Callithrix jacchus: one gene and its partners. The protein of the gene in region 1 purifies or fractionates together with the protein of each later gene. This does not show direct contact. Links are inferred from orthologs where the notes say so. Each region holds a gene or a part of one and is shown in the gene's direction. Other genes may lie near its edges.

Region 1 (5,130 bases):
TCAGTTAAAGCACTTCTCAATTTGTACTCACTGCTTTTTCTTATCCTTTTGAGGAAGGGAGAGGGAAAAGGAAAAGGAGAAGGGACAGGGAGAAGAGGGGGGAGTCTAGCCACATTTTAAGTGCTCAGCAGCCTACCTAATTGAAAAGCACAGGTCAAAAGCTTTAGAAAAAAGGGTAGAGCTGGAAATACAGGTTTGAGAAGTCGTGAGGCGGTAACAGTTAAAGCCACGGGAGAAGATAAGATAATCCAGGCAAAAGTGAAAAAAATAGGAGGATTGAGGAAAACCCTAGTCGAATGCTCTTTTAGTTTCTCCACACAATCTGCTATCCTTATTATTATTGTAATTGAAAAATCATTTGTGTTTTTTTTTCTTTTGGAGACAGAGTCTTGCTCTGTCGCCCAGGCTGGAGTGCAATAGAAGGATCTCCGCTCACCGCAACGTCTGCCTCCTGGGCTCAAGCCATTCTCTTGCCTCAGCCTCCCGAGTAGCTGGGATTACAGGCGTCCACCACCACGCCCGTCAGAAGTTTGTATTTTTCGTAGAGACGGGGTTTCGCCATGTTGGGCAGGCTGGTCTTGAACTCCCGACCTCAGATAATCCACCCGCCTCGGTCTCCTAAAGTTCTGGGATTACGTCATGAGCCACGGCGCCCGGCCAGAATCATTTGTTTTCTGAACGACGTGGAGAATATGAGTGAGCACAAAAAGGCACTGAAACAGATAAGTTGGTGGCACGGGGGGGGGGTGTTAATGTTTCGTCAACACCTCATTGTCAAGTAATGTTCAGAGCATTCTATTAATTGTCTCATTTAATCTAACAAGAAGCTTTTTAGGTAAATATGTTATCTCAATTTATAGAGGAGGAAACTAAGATTTATAAGGGTCTCATAAATCCAAGAACTAGATTTTTGAAAGGAAGTCTGTCTGATGGACTCTAAAGCCCATTCTCTCTGTATCCGCCTAGTGCCTATAATGAAGCATTTGTGATCTACTGACTTTTATAAAATAAACACGGCAGCTTATGCGATTGTACAGCCAGAGTTAGCAGGATATCTCTTACCACTTTTGACTTGATTCCGGAAGCAAATTCGTTTTAACAGTGCGGTGCGGTGATCTTTATGTCCTTAGCGCATATGATACGGACATCATTCATAGTGAAGGACACTAACCCCATCATGTGTTTGTTTACACGTGTCAGTCATTCTGTAGCTGGTTAACTTTTTAGTTAGAAAAAGACGAATCAGGGTGTAGTCAGGATTTGGATTCAATGTTGAACGCGTAATCGCCAAATAAAATTAAATAGTGGGCTTCGTGACACTGTTCAGTTTCGCCAGGAGACTGATGAAAGCGGTACAAAGGGGGAGGGCCGGGGCCGAGGGGGCGGGGCGCTGAGAGACGGGACTCGGGCACGCGCAGAAACAGACAGATGTTACTGGAGGCGTGAAGGCTACTGCCGCCTCACTTTCCGGACTGTCGTAAAGGCCCCTAGTGTCGTGCTCCCCTCGGTGGGGTAGGAATTGGTTAGGCGGCGGCGGCCGGGGAGCGGCGGCGGCGGCGGCGGGGAGGCGTTCGGTCTGCGCAGCGCAGAAACGCCCGCAGCTTCCGAGGAGGAGCCCCTGCGGGACCGAATCCGGCATCGTGAGCCCACGCCGGGCCAGCTGGGCCGAGTCCAGGCGCTGCCGCACGTCCGGCTTTGGTGGCGGTGACAGACACTGCTCCTGACTCTCCGGGCCTGTTAGGCCGACGTCTGGGGCGCACATCGCCGGCTGTCGGCGCCGCGCTCGTCACGCGTTACGCCTCTGTCTTCCCTCCCGGGTCACTGATCCCCGGACCCCGGAGGAGCTGGGGGGCGGCTCATGACTAAGGTGAGGGGGGCAGGGGGGAGGGGATGCGCTGGAGGCCGCGCGTGCGCGCCGCGCGGGAGGGGCCGGGCCGGAGCGGAGAAAGAGGAAGGGCTGCGGCCGCGGAAGGCTGGGGTCGGCGAGCGGCCGCTTCTCGCCGGCGCGGCGGGGACCGAGGCTCTGCGTCCCCGCGGACGTCCCGCGTTCGGGCGAGGCGTCCGTCCGCCGACACACCCACAGCCCGCAGGGAAGGGAGCGTGGGTGAGGGGACGCCTCTCCCTCTTCCCGACTGTGCCCGGAGTCTCCGGATGGGGGCTGAGGACCGGGGCGTGGGAGTGCGCTGTGACAATGGAGTGCTGCAGGGAACCCGGGCCCGGGGACTTGCGGGGCGCTCGGTGGCCCTGACGGCCGCGGTGTCGCCCGCTGCTGCCGTGGCCGGGGAAACGTAGTCCCCGGAACAGCTGGGACACGGACGCGTCGGATTCGGTACGGGGTTGGCTCGTTGGTCGTTTAGAAGGAAGCTTCGTGTTTTTACTTTTGTCCTCGGATAATTGATCCGAGTCAGTGGGGGGTGCCGTCGCGGGAACGTCTGCCCGGCGCTGCGGAAGCAGATTTGTCACAGCAGCTCCTAAATAGGTTATAGTAGATCTCTGCAGACGGGTATTGCTCAACCTGAGTGCAAGTTTTGATATTCCAAAAATACCAGGAAGTGTAGGGTATTCGTTCAGTCTGTTCGTGTGTGCTGTGTGGGGTGACTCCATTGTATTGTTGGAAGCTTTCCTGTTTCTTGATTTACGTGGGCATTAATTTAGGATTCTCTTGAATGGTAAGATGCCGGCTGACACGGACTTCGTTTTGTAGGAGTTCCTGTAGCTTTCGAACCTGACTTAATCTAAACTTTATTTCATTTGGTATTTTACCTGTAATTTTCTTGTTTTAGGGACCTCTTCAACCAAAAGAATCTACTGGGAAAAAGATAAGCTAAGGTTCCATTTCCTTTCCCATTTGTGTGTGTGTGTGTGTGTGTCTGAGAGAGACATACTTGTAAATGCTTGAATGTGATTTTAAGAATACCACACACAAGTTCTGTAACACTGAACTTACAGTAAAGGTTACTTTTGATACTTTGTTGCTGTATGTGTTTTCATAAACGTCTTCATTTCAGTATAAGCCACATTGTTTCACCCTAGTCTTTGATTATATTTGTGAGGTAAAACAGATGGATAAGAAGCAAGGCCTTTTAAAGTACTCTTCAATTGATTTTTTTTTTTAAAGACTTGATTTATTGTACTTTCTTGTCGTTTAACCTTGGACAAATGACTTTATCATCTCTCTCCTGCTCGTTGTGACCAAGGACTCACAAAAGTATTGTAAGAATTGGTGAGGGTGTTTATAAATTGGTCTGAACAATATTATGGGAAAAAGTAGGAAGAGTGAGTCTCTCCTTGCTTATCATGGGTGCTGTGTCGTGTGTAGGTGTTTCTGTCACTTTAACTTTTGTTTGGTGTCAGTTGACCACTTGCTTGGTAGTTGTTTCACCAGAAAGAGAGTTGGTTTTTGAAGAAAGGTATAACAAAGTGACTTCGTTTTGGTGAAAAATGCATTACAGCAGAGGTTACACCTTAACAAATTTCTCATTGGTGCTCCATTTCTACAGATTATTGAGAGGGAGCTATACTGATGTATACGGAACAGCTCCTTGCTTGTATAAGGCCAAGGTATAGTCACTTATCAGATACTCCTAAGTAGTTATTTTACTTTAAAATTTAAAATGTGAAAGAAACTAATTGAATCAAACCGTTTAGATTTTTAGATGTTTCTTTTATTGTTGTAGTTTCAAAAGGAATTTCTGTATCATGCTTTACTTAAGGCATGCTTATATGTGAAAAACTCTTCTTTTGAGTTTTTCTCCCCCCTTTGGGCTAAGACTTAAATAGGAAATAAAAGAGACAATCTAAAAATTGATAGCAGTTAAATATGTTGTAACTTGGCATTAACATTCTATGGGTAACATTATCCTGTGAATCTTAGGGCTAGAGACAGGAGATCTAGATTTTAGATCTATCTTTGCTTGCTCTACGTAAGATCTCCCAGTTGATTGTTAACCCTCCTTGGGCTTCAGCTCTCCCTGTTTACTTGAGAACTGTAGAATAGATAACTGGTTTTCTCTAGGTTCCAAATTAATGGTTTGTGTATCTAGGTAGGTTTTTGGTACTGAAAGCATCAATTCCCTCATGATAGGTATATGGATAACACCTATGATGAAACTGTCGGCCAGGCATGGTGGCTCACCCCTGTAATCCCAGCACTTTGGGAGGCCAAGGCAGGCAGATCACTTGAGGTCAGGAGTTCCACTAGCCTGGCCACCATGGTGAAACCGCATCTCTACTGAAAATACAAAAAATTAGCCGTGCGTGGTGGTGTGTGCCTGTAGTCCCAGCTGCTTGGGAAGCGGAGGCAGGAGGATGGCTTGAATCTGGGAGGTGGGGGTTGCAGTGAGCTGAGATCATGCCACTCACTGCAGTCCAGTCTGGGCGACAGAGGAAGGCTGTTTCAAGACAAACCAAAAAACCTGATTGTTGTTCCGCATATCATGGCTATTGCTGTTGCATTGTAGATGTAAAGTACTCAAGCTTTAACAGCTTTCACATGGTACTAAGATTTTTTTTCATTACTCCTGATAACATTTTAAAAATTGTCCCGAATAATTTTTCAGAAGCCTGTGATTATTGTTCAGTAAAAGTCCAGAGTTATATTTGAATATCTTATACTGGACTCTGTTTTTTTTCTTTCCTACATCCTACAGATGATTGGTAACAGCTGGCCCAGTTTTCTACAAGTACCCAATTTATATATTACATGAGGAGTGAATTACAAATGTTTAAAGACAAATACTTATCTGAGACTAGTTGCCCTGGCTCACACCTGTAATTCCAGCACTTTGGGAAGCAAAGGCAGACAGATCACGAGGTCAGGAGTTCCAGACCAGGCAGGCCAACATGGTGAAACTCTGTCTCTACTAAAAAAAAAAAATACAAAATTTAGCAGGGTGTGGTGGTGGCACACGCCTGTAATCCCAGCTACTCGGGAGGCTGAGGTGTAATGGCTTGAACTTGGGAAGTGGCGGTTGCAGTGAGCTAAGTGCACTGCACTCCAGCCTGGGTGACAGAGTAAAACTCTGTCTCGAAAAAACAAAACAAAAGAAAACAACAAAAAGACCCCCGATATTTAGCTGAGCTTACATACTGCATTATTATGTCGTTACAGGTATTGAATGTCTCATGTTG
Region 2 (4,985 bases), on another chromosome or scaffold:
AGGAGCCAAGTGCTGAGAGTTGACCTGGAGCCAAGTTTCAGGACTGTCCAGTCTTCGCATCGGATCTTCAGCCAGGCCTTCTGAATATTCTCACAATTAGAAAATCTATCCCCCACCCCAGACTCACAGATGCTGTTTTCCCCCCACTGGCTCTGCACAGAACATCATTATCTTTGCCAAGCTTCTGTCTCTATGGCAATAACAGATGGGAAGTGCTGTGGAATTATTCATGTTCAGGAAAGGAGGCAGTCAAGAACGAAGAAAAGGTGGGGGGGTAGAGAGGGAGCACGACCTGGGAGCTCGGTGGAGGGGGCCTAAGGAAGGGAACTTGGGTGGGGGTGCGGGGAGCGGTAGGGCTTGAGAGGCTTGTGAGCCTTTGGGAGGCCTGTTGTAAAAAAAGGAAAAAAAAAAAAATCTACGAGCACAAGAGTATTTCCAGCCAGCGACTCCAAACGTGGGCCCCCATAGGAACGACCTGAAGCAGTAAAACCCAGAAGAAATTGGACGAAAATGGGGGAAAAAAGGGGACAAAGCCCGAGTCTCCTCAATTTTGTGCACTGCTACTCGGTGGACTATTTCGGTTCCAGATCTTGTGGTGGGGTGGAGAAAAGGGGATTTCTTGGTGTTTCGAAATGTGACGGAGCAGCTCTGCAGAGTTCAATATGCTAACCGGCAACCCTGGGAACCAGGAAGACCACCCTACAAGCCGCAGAGGGTCGCTGCCGGAAAGCTCTTAAGTCCTATCTTTCCCACCTCGTCTTGCCCTTCTTTAAAAAAAAAAAAAAAAAAACCCTCAGTAAACACTGTAGAAACCTGTAATTTATAGCTCCCCTCTGGAACCGAGAGAGCAGCCTGGTGGGCTGGGGGCAGGAGCCTGGGGAGCAGAGACAGAAATGTTTGCTCACGGTTGTGCCGGAACTTTGGCCACCCCTCCCGCCCGACCCGATGGCGGATGGAGGTCAGCCAGGGGAAGGCGTCTGGGTGGAGGCCGCCCTGGCGAGGCTGGGGCCGCCGGGACGGGGCGGAGCTCTGGCAGCTGGCTGGGCGGCCCTCGGGCCTGAGGCCCCGCGGGGGCGAGGGGCAGCCCAGGAGGGAGGTCCCGCGGGGGCGGGGAGTGGAGCCGGCCCCGGGGGCCCTGCAGGGCGGTCGCCGCCCGGCTGCCTCCGGGGCGGGGCGGCCCAGCTGCGGCCCCGCGGGGGGAGGGTCGCCCGTGCCTGACCTCGGGCGGCGGCGCTCTGCCGGGCGGGCACTGCCTCCGCCCTGCGGGCTGCTGGGGTCGCGCACAGTGCACGGCGCGGCTGCCCTGCCCCCTCTTCCCCGCCGCGCGGCGGCCGAGCGTCCAGGGCGCCCCAGGGTCTGGCCCTTCACCACAGAGCGGCGGGTGGGGCGGGGCCGGGGCGGAGGCCCCAGACAGCCGGCTGGGCGACTAGAGGAAGGAAGGAGGGAGGGCGGCGGTGAGGGTGGAGTGGGGAGGGAACATCCTGTCTGCGCTGGGTGCACCGCAGACAGCGCCGCGCGCCAGCCGCCCAGACGGCGCGCGGGGCCAGGAGCGCCGGGCGCGCGCGCCTGGGGGAGGGACGCGCGCGCGGGACGACCTGGCCAGGGGTCGGGGGCGCTCTGAGGAGCCACAATAGGCCAGACGGCGCGCGCGTTTCCGAGAGATCTGGGAGCCGCGAAGTGGCGGCCCCGGCGACGCCGGCGAGCCCGCGCGCGCGGCACCGCCGCTGGCTCTGTTCCCTTCCCCTCCCCCTCCCCGCCGCCCTCGCTCTCCCCCGGGCGGCCGGAGACGGCGGCGGCGTCTGCGGGAAGCCGTGTGTCTCCGCAGTGACGTGGGCGGGCCGAGGGCTGGTGACGTCAGAGGGCTGTGTGTAGCGATGTGTGTGGGGTTCGGAGCGGCGCCGGCACAGCCGAAGGGAGAGGGCGAGCGGCGACGGCGGCGGCGGGCACAGGTGCGGCTCCGGCTCGTGGGTGCGCGGGGGGGGGACGCGGCGGAGGCGGCTGGAGGCCAGAGGCGCTCAGCCTCCGGGGAGCCCGACGGCGGCGACAGGGGCGGTGGGGAGTTCACAAAGCTCGTCGAGCTTCCCCAGTCGCCGAGGCCCGAGTAGGGGCTTTGGATGCGCGGGTCCCGGGTGGGGTCGGAGCCAGAGGGAGTCGCAAGGCGCGTGTCCCACGAGGGATTACGCCTCGTTGGCTCCAGGCGGTGGGCGCAGGCAGGGCTGGGCGCTGCACTTGACGGGAGCCGCGGGGACCCGGGAGACCCGGGAGACCCGGACGCCCGTCACCACCCCCCTCCCACCGTCCAGCAGCGCTCCACGGGGATGCCTTGGGCTCGACCCTGCCCGTCAGCCCCCGGCGGCGCGGGGATGTTCGCTCGGCGACTGAACTGCCCCGGTGCCCTCTTCGTTCTGGCCCGGAGCTGGCAGGGCGGGGGAGGTGCAGCATTAGGGGCGCTGGGGTGACACCCGAGAAGTTCCCGGGGAGAGGGTGCGAGTGGGGGGGATTTCCACAGTCCTTCCCGCGGCTCCCGCGGGGGGGCAGTGTTGGGAGGGCACTTGAGGTTATCCCAGGCTCGCTGATGGGGGTGGGGGGACTCCTCCCTTTACTTTCCTCCACCCCCTTGCACACCCACTCCCAGGCTTCCCGTGTCCCTTGTTCTTCCTCCTCTTCGGGTTAGAGATAGGTGAGTGGCTTTGAGTGGGCGGAGGACTTCAGGGTTTTGGGGGCTCCCCCATTCTAGGTCATGCCTCTTGCCCTCTTCCTTGGCCTGTGTTAAGTGAGATGTGTTCCTGTGGTGGACAAAAGTCCGTACGATGGCTGGTAGCATTGGTCCTTACTCCTTTGGGTCTGTTTTATGGTAAATTGCTGACAGTTAGGGAAGCAAAAATTTCTATTTATTGGATTTCTTTTGGGGTTTCTCTCACGAAGGAAGTGGAAGAAGAGTCTTTTCTTTTCCCCCTCTTCCTCCATTTGCATTCTTTGTGAGGTTTGTCTGCCTTGTGCTTTTTGTCCCGGATTAGTCTTGTTCAAGGATGGAGATTCCCAGGCATGGAGTCTATAAGCTTTTGGCTTCCATTAAGTAAAATCGCTAACCTTTTAAAAGAGACAGTTAATTTTTGCCTACAGTCATTCCAGAAAAATGGTATACACGGACCAGCTGAATTAATCCACTTAAAATTGTAACTTAGTTACATATGGTAGATATATGTTAACTCCTATTTGATTTTTTTTGGATGAAACTGTTTTTTTTTAAATAGGAGATGAAGTAATGTATTTTTTCCCCCTTAAAATGGCATACATAACTGAAAAAGCCTCTGGTACTGATGGAGATGATCTGTTTAAGATTCTTCATATTCTGAACTCAAATGGCCTTTTGTGTTACATTATTGCTCCCTTTACCCAACTCCAAATTGCTTTCCTATTTAAGTGAATGTTCTAATAAACTGGTGTTAGATTTAAAGAAATCACTCAAGCGTCACCTTTGGTAAAGTGAACTCAGTTTAATATTAAGAAACTGGTTTCGGCCTGGTGCGGTGGCTCACGCCTGTAATCCCAGCACTTTGGGAGGCTGAGGCAGGTGGATCGCTTGAGGCCAGGAGTTCGAGACCAGCCTGACCAATATGATGAAACCCTGTCTCTACTAAAAATACAAAAAAATTAGCTGCGCGTTGTGGCGTGCGTCGGCAGTCCTAGCTACTCGGGAGGCTGAGACAGGAGAATTGCTTGAACCCGGGAGGCGGAGGTTGCAGTGAGCGGAGGTTGTGCCATTGTACTCCAGCCTGGGCAACAGAGCGAGACTCTTAAGAAGGAAAGAAAGGAAACTGGTTTTCTTTGGCCTCTGGAGCAAATTCAAATGTAACTATTCCCCACCCCCTTCTCTTGCAGATTAATTAAAAGAAGAATGAACTGTAATCTTTGAAGATAATTGGGCAATTTTTTGTTAAGTATCATTGTTGATTGTAGAAGTTCAAGAAGGCAGAGGCTGTTTTTCCTGGTGTGAGGATTTACACGTCTTCAGTTTTTCAGCACGGACACCAGCAGACCATCGTTTTTAGAGGAAATACTCCCTCTGCCCTCCTTTTTGGTTTCCTTAGTGGTAAAGATTAAATTGGGTTGCATCATTTTGACTTGTGTTTGAGTCTAGATTTTATGGCCCAAGGAATGACAGAAACTTTTCATGTGTTTGTTTATAACAAAGGAAACCAAACCATTGCGTTGATCCTGGACATCTTGAATTGAGAAATTGGTAACTTTATTTTGATACGTATTTCTGAAGAATTCAAGAAAACAAAGCATTCTCAGAGGTGTGCTTCTATTCTTTATTATTGGAGGCAAAACGAACAATTTCATAGGCTTTGTAGTGGAATTATGCCAGATTATAAGGAGAACCAAAACTAAGTATTGAGTAATTTAAGGGGATCTCTCTTTAGAAAGTTTTTGTGAAAGTAAGTTATCATAAGTATTTGTATATTCATTACTTTCCCCTTTTCAAATAAGTAATTAAATAGAAATGCAAATCTCAGACTTAATTGTTTAACAGAGTAGTGTAGCAATGGAAAACCTCCAGACAAATTTCTCCTTGGTTCAGGGTTCAACTAAAAAACTGAATGGGATGGGAGATGATGGCAGCCCCCCAGAGAAAAAAATGATGACAGACATTCATGCAAATGGAAAAATGATAAACAAGGTGCCAACAGTAAAGAAGGAACACTTGGATGACTATGAAGACATGACAGTGGAAACTGATGGAGAACATGTCAAGCGAACCTGTGCTTCCGTTCCTGAAACTTTACATTTAAATCCCAGTTTGAAACACACATTGGCACAATTCCATTTAAGTAGTCAGAGCTCTCTAGGTGGACCAGCAGCATTTTCTGCTCGGTATTCCCAAGAAAGCATGTCGCCTACTGTATTTCTGCCTCTTCCATCTCCTCAGGTTCTTCCTGGCCCATTGCTCATCCCTTCCGATAGCTCCACAGAACTTACCC
Region 3 (4,882 bases), on another chromosome or scaffold:
GTTTGCATGCAACAGAAGAGAAGTTAATGATCACAGACTTTCCCTGAACTTCAAAGTCCTATGCTATTTACTTTCATATTATTATTTAACCATCACACAACTATATTTAAGTAGATATGGCTGCAGGTGAGTTCCATTTGCCAAAGATTAGCTATGGAACAGAGCCGTACTCAAAGCTACAATGTGATTGTAGCTGATTCCTGGGTTCGCGCTCTTCCTCGCAACTTTTGCTTGAGAAAAGTTCCTCCGTGTGTGAGGAGATGGTAGAAAGGACAGAGATTTTGAAAGGACATCTGGAAAACGTGTATGACTCAGGGGATGGCCACATCACTCTTAAGATCCATCTGAAGGCACCCTCCTCTGGGACACCTTCATTTTTAAGAAAGATTATACTTTAAAAACTCTTACTGTTTGAAGTGCTCATTGGTACTTCCTGATTACTGATTTGTATTGCTAGTGCTTTTTTCCAGCTTGTTTATCCCAAGTCCCCAACTGAATCTATAAAGTAATCCAGTTTCTGAACAGGCAGCCAAGAAAACTGAGTTCTAGTCTTTGGCACCTGTGTGAGACCTATTTCTTTTCAACTTTAGTTCTACGATGCTCCCTGCCTGTGTCACAGTGGGTGCATAGTAAATACTTGATGTCATTAGTTGGGATCAATATTTTGTCACCAGAGGCTTGGGTGTTCCTAAGGGTAAAAGCAACAAGCTTTCCCCTGGGTGCGGTTATGCCCTGGGCAGTCGTAAGTGTAGGGCCTGCTGCCTCCTGTAGGCCAGATGTGCAGACCCGGGCCTAATGGCCCAACAGTGGAGAAAAGGGGAAGGGAAGATAGCCCAACCATTAAGGGGCATCGTGACAGGCGTTTCTTTTAGACTTCACAAAGACCCTTCCGGACATGCATTATTGCTATCATCCTTGCTGAAGAAGGAACCAAGGTTCAGGTTAAACTCTTATACCTGGCATCCCCTGCCCAGGCCTAAGTGTTCCTGAAAGACCCCAGCTCCGGGCTTATTTACATTGCGAACTCGCCCTCGTCTGCAGCACGAGGGCCCCGCCCACTCATTTGCATAGGGCGCACCCGGCTTCTCCAGAACCCCTCTCTCCCGGGCGCGTCCTCCGGGCTGCCCGAGTCCTCCCCGTGGCATGAGCACGTGTCTGCCCCGGCCTCACGACGGACCGTGGACGAGGCGGCAGGCCCCCACAGGACCCACCCCACGGCGCTGGCGAGGGACCCGGCAGTTGCCGGGGATCGTTTTCTAGCGCGACAAGGGACGGGCCTCTCCCTCCCCACCCGCGAGCCCAGATGGGAGCGCGCCGAAGCCCAACTCAAGCGAAACCGCTGGCGTCCCGCCCCGCCCGGCCGCGCCCCGCCTCGCCTCACGCTAGACGGGGGAGGCGGGACCAATCAGCAAGCGACGTCTCCCTTCCGATTCGAGGCCCCCGACGCGCGGCTCACACCCCGAGCTCCCCGCGTGCTGATTGGCTGCGGGCGCCGCCGGTCCGGCCGGGAGGCGGGGCGGGCCGTAGGCAAAGGGAGGTGGGGAGGCGGTGGCCGGCGACTCCCCGCGCCCCGCTCGCCCCCTGGCCCTTCCCGCGGCGCTCGGCCTCGTTCCTTTCCTCCTCCGCTCCCTCCGTCTTCCGTACACGCCCCGCGCGACGCTTGGCCAGCGTGCCTCGCGCCCTAACGGGCGGCTGGAGGCGCCAATCAGCGGGAGGCAGGGTGCCAGCCCCGGGGCTGCGCCGGCGAATCGGCGGGGCCCGCGGCCCGGGGTGGCAGGCGGGTCTACCCGCGCGGCCGCGGCGGCGGAGGAGCAGCTAGCCAGCCAGCAGCCCGCCAGCCGCCGGGAGGTGGGTGCGCGGCGGCCGGCGGTCGGCGGCCGAGGGCGGAAGCGGAGGTGGGGCGGCGGGGGAGGGCGCGGCCGTGCGGGCGGCGGGGAGGGCTGCGGGCGCGCGCCTGAGGGGAGGAGGGGCGGCGCGGGCGCCCGCGTCTTCACCCCCTCCTTCCCCGCGGGCGGCGGCCAGGCCCCCACCTCTCCCCTCCCCTCGCGCGCGCCGGGGTGGCTGGCCGGGCCCGGGCCTGGGGGCGGGGCGGGAAGACGGCGGCGGGGAGTGTTTTCAGTTCCGCCTCCAATCGCCCATTCCCCTCTTCCCCTCCCAGCCCCCTCCATCCCATCGGAAGAGGAAGGAACAAAAGGTCCTGGACCCCCCGGATCTGACGGGGCGGGACCTGGTGCCTCTGTGCAGGTAAAGCCTCGGCGCCCGCGGGCCTCGGGATAGGGGTGTGTTTGTGTGCGGCCGCGGCTTGGGGTGATGGGCCGTGTCACATGGCCGCGGCTGGTGGGGGCTGGGGTGTGGCGAGTTCGGGGGCTGTGGGTTCGCGGGCCCGGTGGTGCGGGTTGGGGGCCGGAGAACCCGGGAGGGACGGGGCTTGGCGGTCAGTGCTGCCGCCCAGCCTGGCGGGGGCGGAGGATGCCTGCGTCCCTTCCCCTCGCGGCTCTCACGCTCCATAGTTTGTGGTTTTGATTTTTAAAGCCGAAGAGCCAGAGCTCTTGTTTCAGGAGTTGTGGGGAAGCTGTGTTAGGGGCGCGTAATACTTTGCTTCCACTTTTTTTTTTTTTTGGTCCGGTAACCTTTGTTAACCATAGTAGTCTCGGGTTTTCCATGGCTTGTGTATACTCACAAACACGAACACAGCTGATACTCTGTGATCATCCTTCACTCATTTGTGAAAGTTGTTCTGCGGGTGGAGCCTATTAGTTTTTATCACACGCCTTTGGAAAGCCCTCTAAGTGATTTCACGTATTTCAAATTTGGTTGTCAAAATTGCAACTTATTTTGTTCTCTTAGGGGATACTGTCCTTGGTTCAAGTACTTTTGTCTTTTACTTACCCTTATGATTTCCTTTTGATCCTAAACAGAAAGAGAATACCTGGGTTGATTTGTTACTCCTTCCTCTTGACCCTTTAAAAGCAAAACAGCACCAGTGTAGTGTCAACCATACCTTAAAAAAACAAAAAACAAAAAACTCCAGGTGAAACGAATTTGCAAGCAGCATTTTCCATTAGTTCTGTCTTGTTTGTTATAGTTTTTTTTTGGTCTGATAACCTTTGTTAACAATAGTAGTCTCGAGTTTTCCATGGCTTGTGTGTGTGACACGCACACAGCTGATACTCTTAAATTTTGGTGTGTGAAAATTTTTAAAAGATATGTGTAAAATAATTGTTAATAAATAAATAACTTGGAAGTAGTTTCACCTTTTTGCAAATGGTCCTTGAAATGTGAATGAATTTCCAAAATTCCTTTTCTCTTTTCTGACTTCATATGAATTGAACCTGATAGGTTCGTATGAATGAATCACTGATAGGATGTTTTTCTTGCGCCTAATAATAAATTTGCTCTTATGCTGAAAATTTGCTCTTCTATTTTAACCCCCTTTCAAAAAGTTTTCATCTTACATTGAACTTAGTCAAATAGTTAAATGGAGTTTCAACATTTTTTAATACATGAATTAGTGAAGCAAATGCGGCAGAGATGTGAGAAGGAATTTAAAATGGGCTTCATAAATGTATCATAGTTTGACGGTTTTTTAAAAATTTGCCTTCAGAAAACCCACACAAGATATTTAAAGAATTTCGTCTGCCAAAAGGTCATTTAGCAAACGTATATATTAAATTCAAAAGTAATACTTTAATTTTTAAAGTTTCTTAGCCTTTGCGGTAAACTTGGGTGTGGTAGTAAATATAAATAGTTCACACCTTGGGCATTTCTAAACCGAGTACCCACTTATACACTTACTATAAATATTAACTGGATTTAATTGAGTTCAAGTCAGTTCACTGGCCAGGTTTAATTAATGGAATGTGATTGGAAACGTTCATTTTGGGGTTTTAGTAAGAAATTGCTCTTACAGCTTGCTTTTTATACTTTGCCACACCTTCTAAAGTGCGGCTAAAGCGTTGAAGATGTTCAACAAAAGTTTGGTGTTTCAAGGTTGTAACCTACGTGTACTTAGTCATAAGTGGTCATGTCTCCACATAGTCGGTAAGCTTCATGAAATAATAGTCTTTTAAGAAACTGTGCAGGGTAATTTCCTGTTGTTTGTGGCTTATCAGGCTTGGTATGTGTTTTTAACTCTTATGTAGGAATATAGGCGATGGTTTTGTGTATTTCAACAGAGTTTCTCTTTAATAGGAACAAAGGTTATTTCTGTTCTACTTCAAGATGGCAAGAGGTTGTCCCCTTTTCATTTTTACGTAATAAATATTAGAATCATGTTGCTGTAATCTTGTTACTTCACATTTAGGGGAATATATGTGAATGGAAAACCTCAGTTTAGCTGCATAAACTGCTGGCCAAAGACCTATTGAATTTTTACATTTTGCAAATGGAGATTTCATATTCTTGGGACAAGAGTCATTTTTAGAGGGTGAAGGGATTCATGTCTTTTAAGATTCCTAGTCTTTTGATGTGTATAGAACAGCTATTTTTAGGCCCTTAGTTTCTGTAAGAGGGAAGATGTTTTCCACTAAGTTTTGCAAAAGTGTGTCAGAAAATGTGAATGTAAAGAATTCCAAGCCAATTTAGGAGAGGTATGCATTTATTCAACAAATAACTTGTATTGACCAAGTGGCATTTATTCATCAAACAGCTTTTTCTGTGAGTTGGGCTTTGGTCTAGGCAATAAAGTATCAGCAAGAAAGTACACCCCTTTTCCTTAATGGAATTAGAAAAGTGGAAAGTCATGTCCATTGCCCGATTCTCCAGTGTTCAGAGTAAGAAAATTGTTAGTGTACAAATTGAGGGAGCATGTGTTACTGAGCCATTCCTCAAGTGTGCTTGCCATGCCTCCTATCACATGTAGTGGGGACAGCACTGGGGAAGA

What was found.
Region 2: the proteins of RNF111 (region 1) and SKIL purify together in Homo sapiens (affinity purification with western blotting; 3 studies listed by BioGRID). This does not show direct contact. The link is inferred for Callithrix jacchus from reciprocal best matches to the Homo sapiens genes RNF111 and SKIL.
Region 3: the proteins of RNF111 (region 1) and SMAD2 purify together in Homo sapiens (affinity purification with western blotting, with the first as the bait; 3 studies listed by BioGRID). This does not show direct contact. The link is inferred for Callithrix jacchus from reciprocal best matches to the Homo sapiens genes RNF111 and SMAD2.

The regions. Positions count from the first base shown.
Region 1 is NC_133509.1:4,989,135-4,994,264, forward strand, and holds the start of RNF111 (E3 ubiquitin-protein ligase Arkadia), read left to right. Parts: upstream 1-1,762; 5' UTR 1,763-1,867; intron 1,868-2,070; exon of another isoform or gene 2,071-2,329; intron 2,330-5,130. Other genes in the region: uncharacterized protein LOC144577265, read right to left, coding at 1,298-1,762. UniProt on the Homo sapiens protein: E3 ubiquitin-protein ligase. Required for mesoderm patterning during embryonic development. Acts as an enhancer of the transcriptional responses of the SMAD2/SMAD3 effectors, which are activated downstream of BMP.
Region 2 is NC_133518.1:16,691,922-16,696,906, reverse strand, and holds the start of SKIL (ski-like protein), read left to right. Parts: upstream 1-1,856; 5' UTR 1,857-1,949; intron 1,950-3,882; 5' UTR 3,883-4,549; coding exon 4,550-4,985. UniProt on the Homo sapiens protein: May have regulatory role in cell division or differentiation in response to extracellular signals.
Region 3 is NC_133514.1:91,027,731-91,032,612, reverse strand, and holds the start of SMAD2 (mothers against decapentaplegic homolog 2), read left to right. Parts: upstream 1-1,753; 5' UTR 1,754-1,895; intron 1,896-2,158; 5' UTR 2,159-2,244; intron 2,245-4,882. UniProt on the Homo sapiens protein: Receptor-regulated SMAD (R-SMAD) that is an intracellular signal transducer and transcriptional modulator activated by TGF-beta (transforming growth factor) and activin type 1 receptor kinases.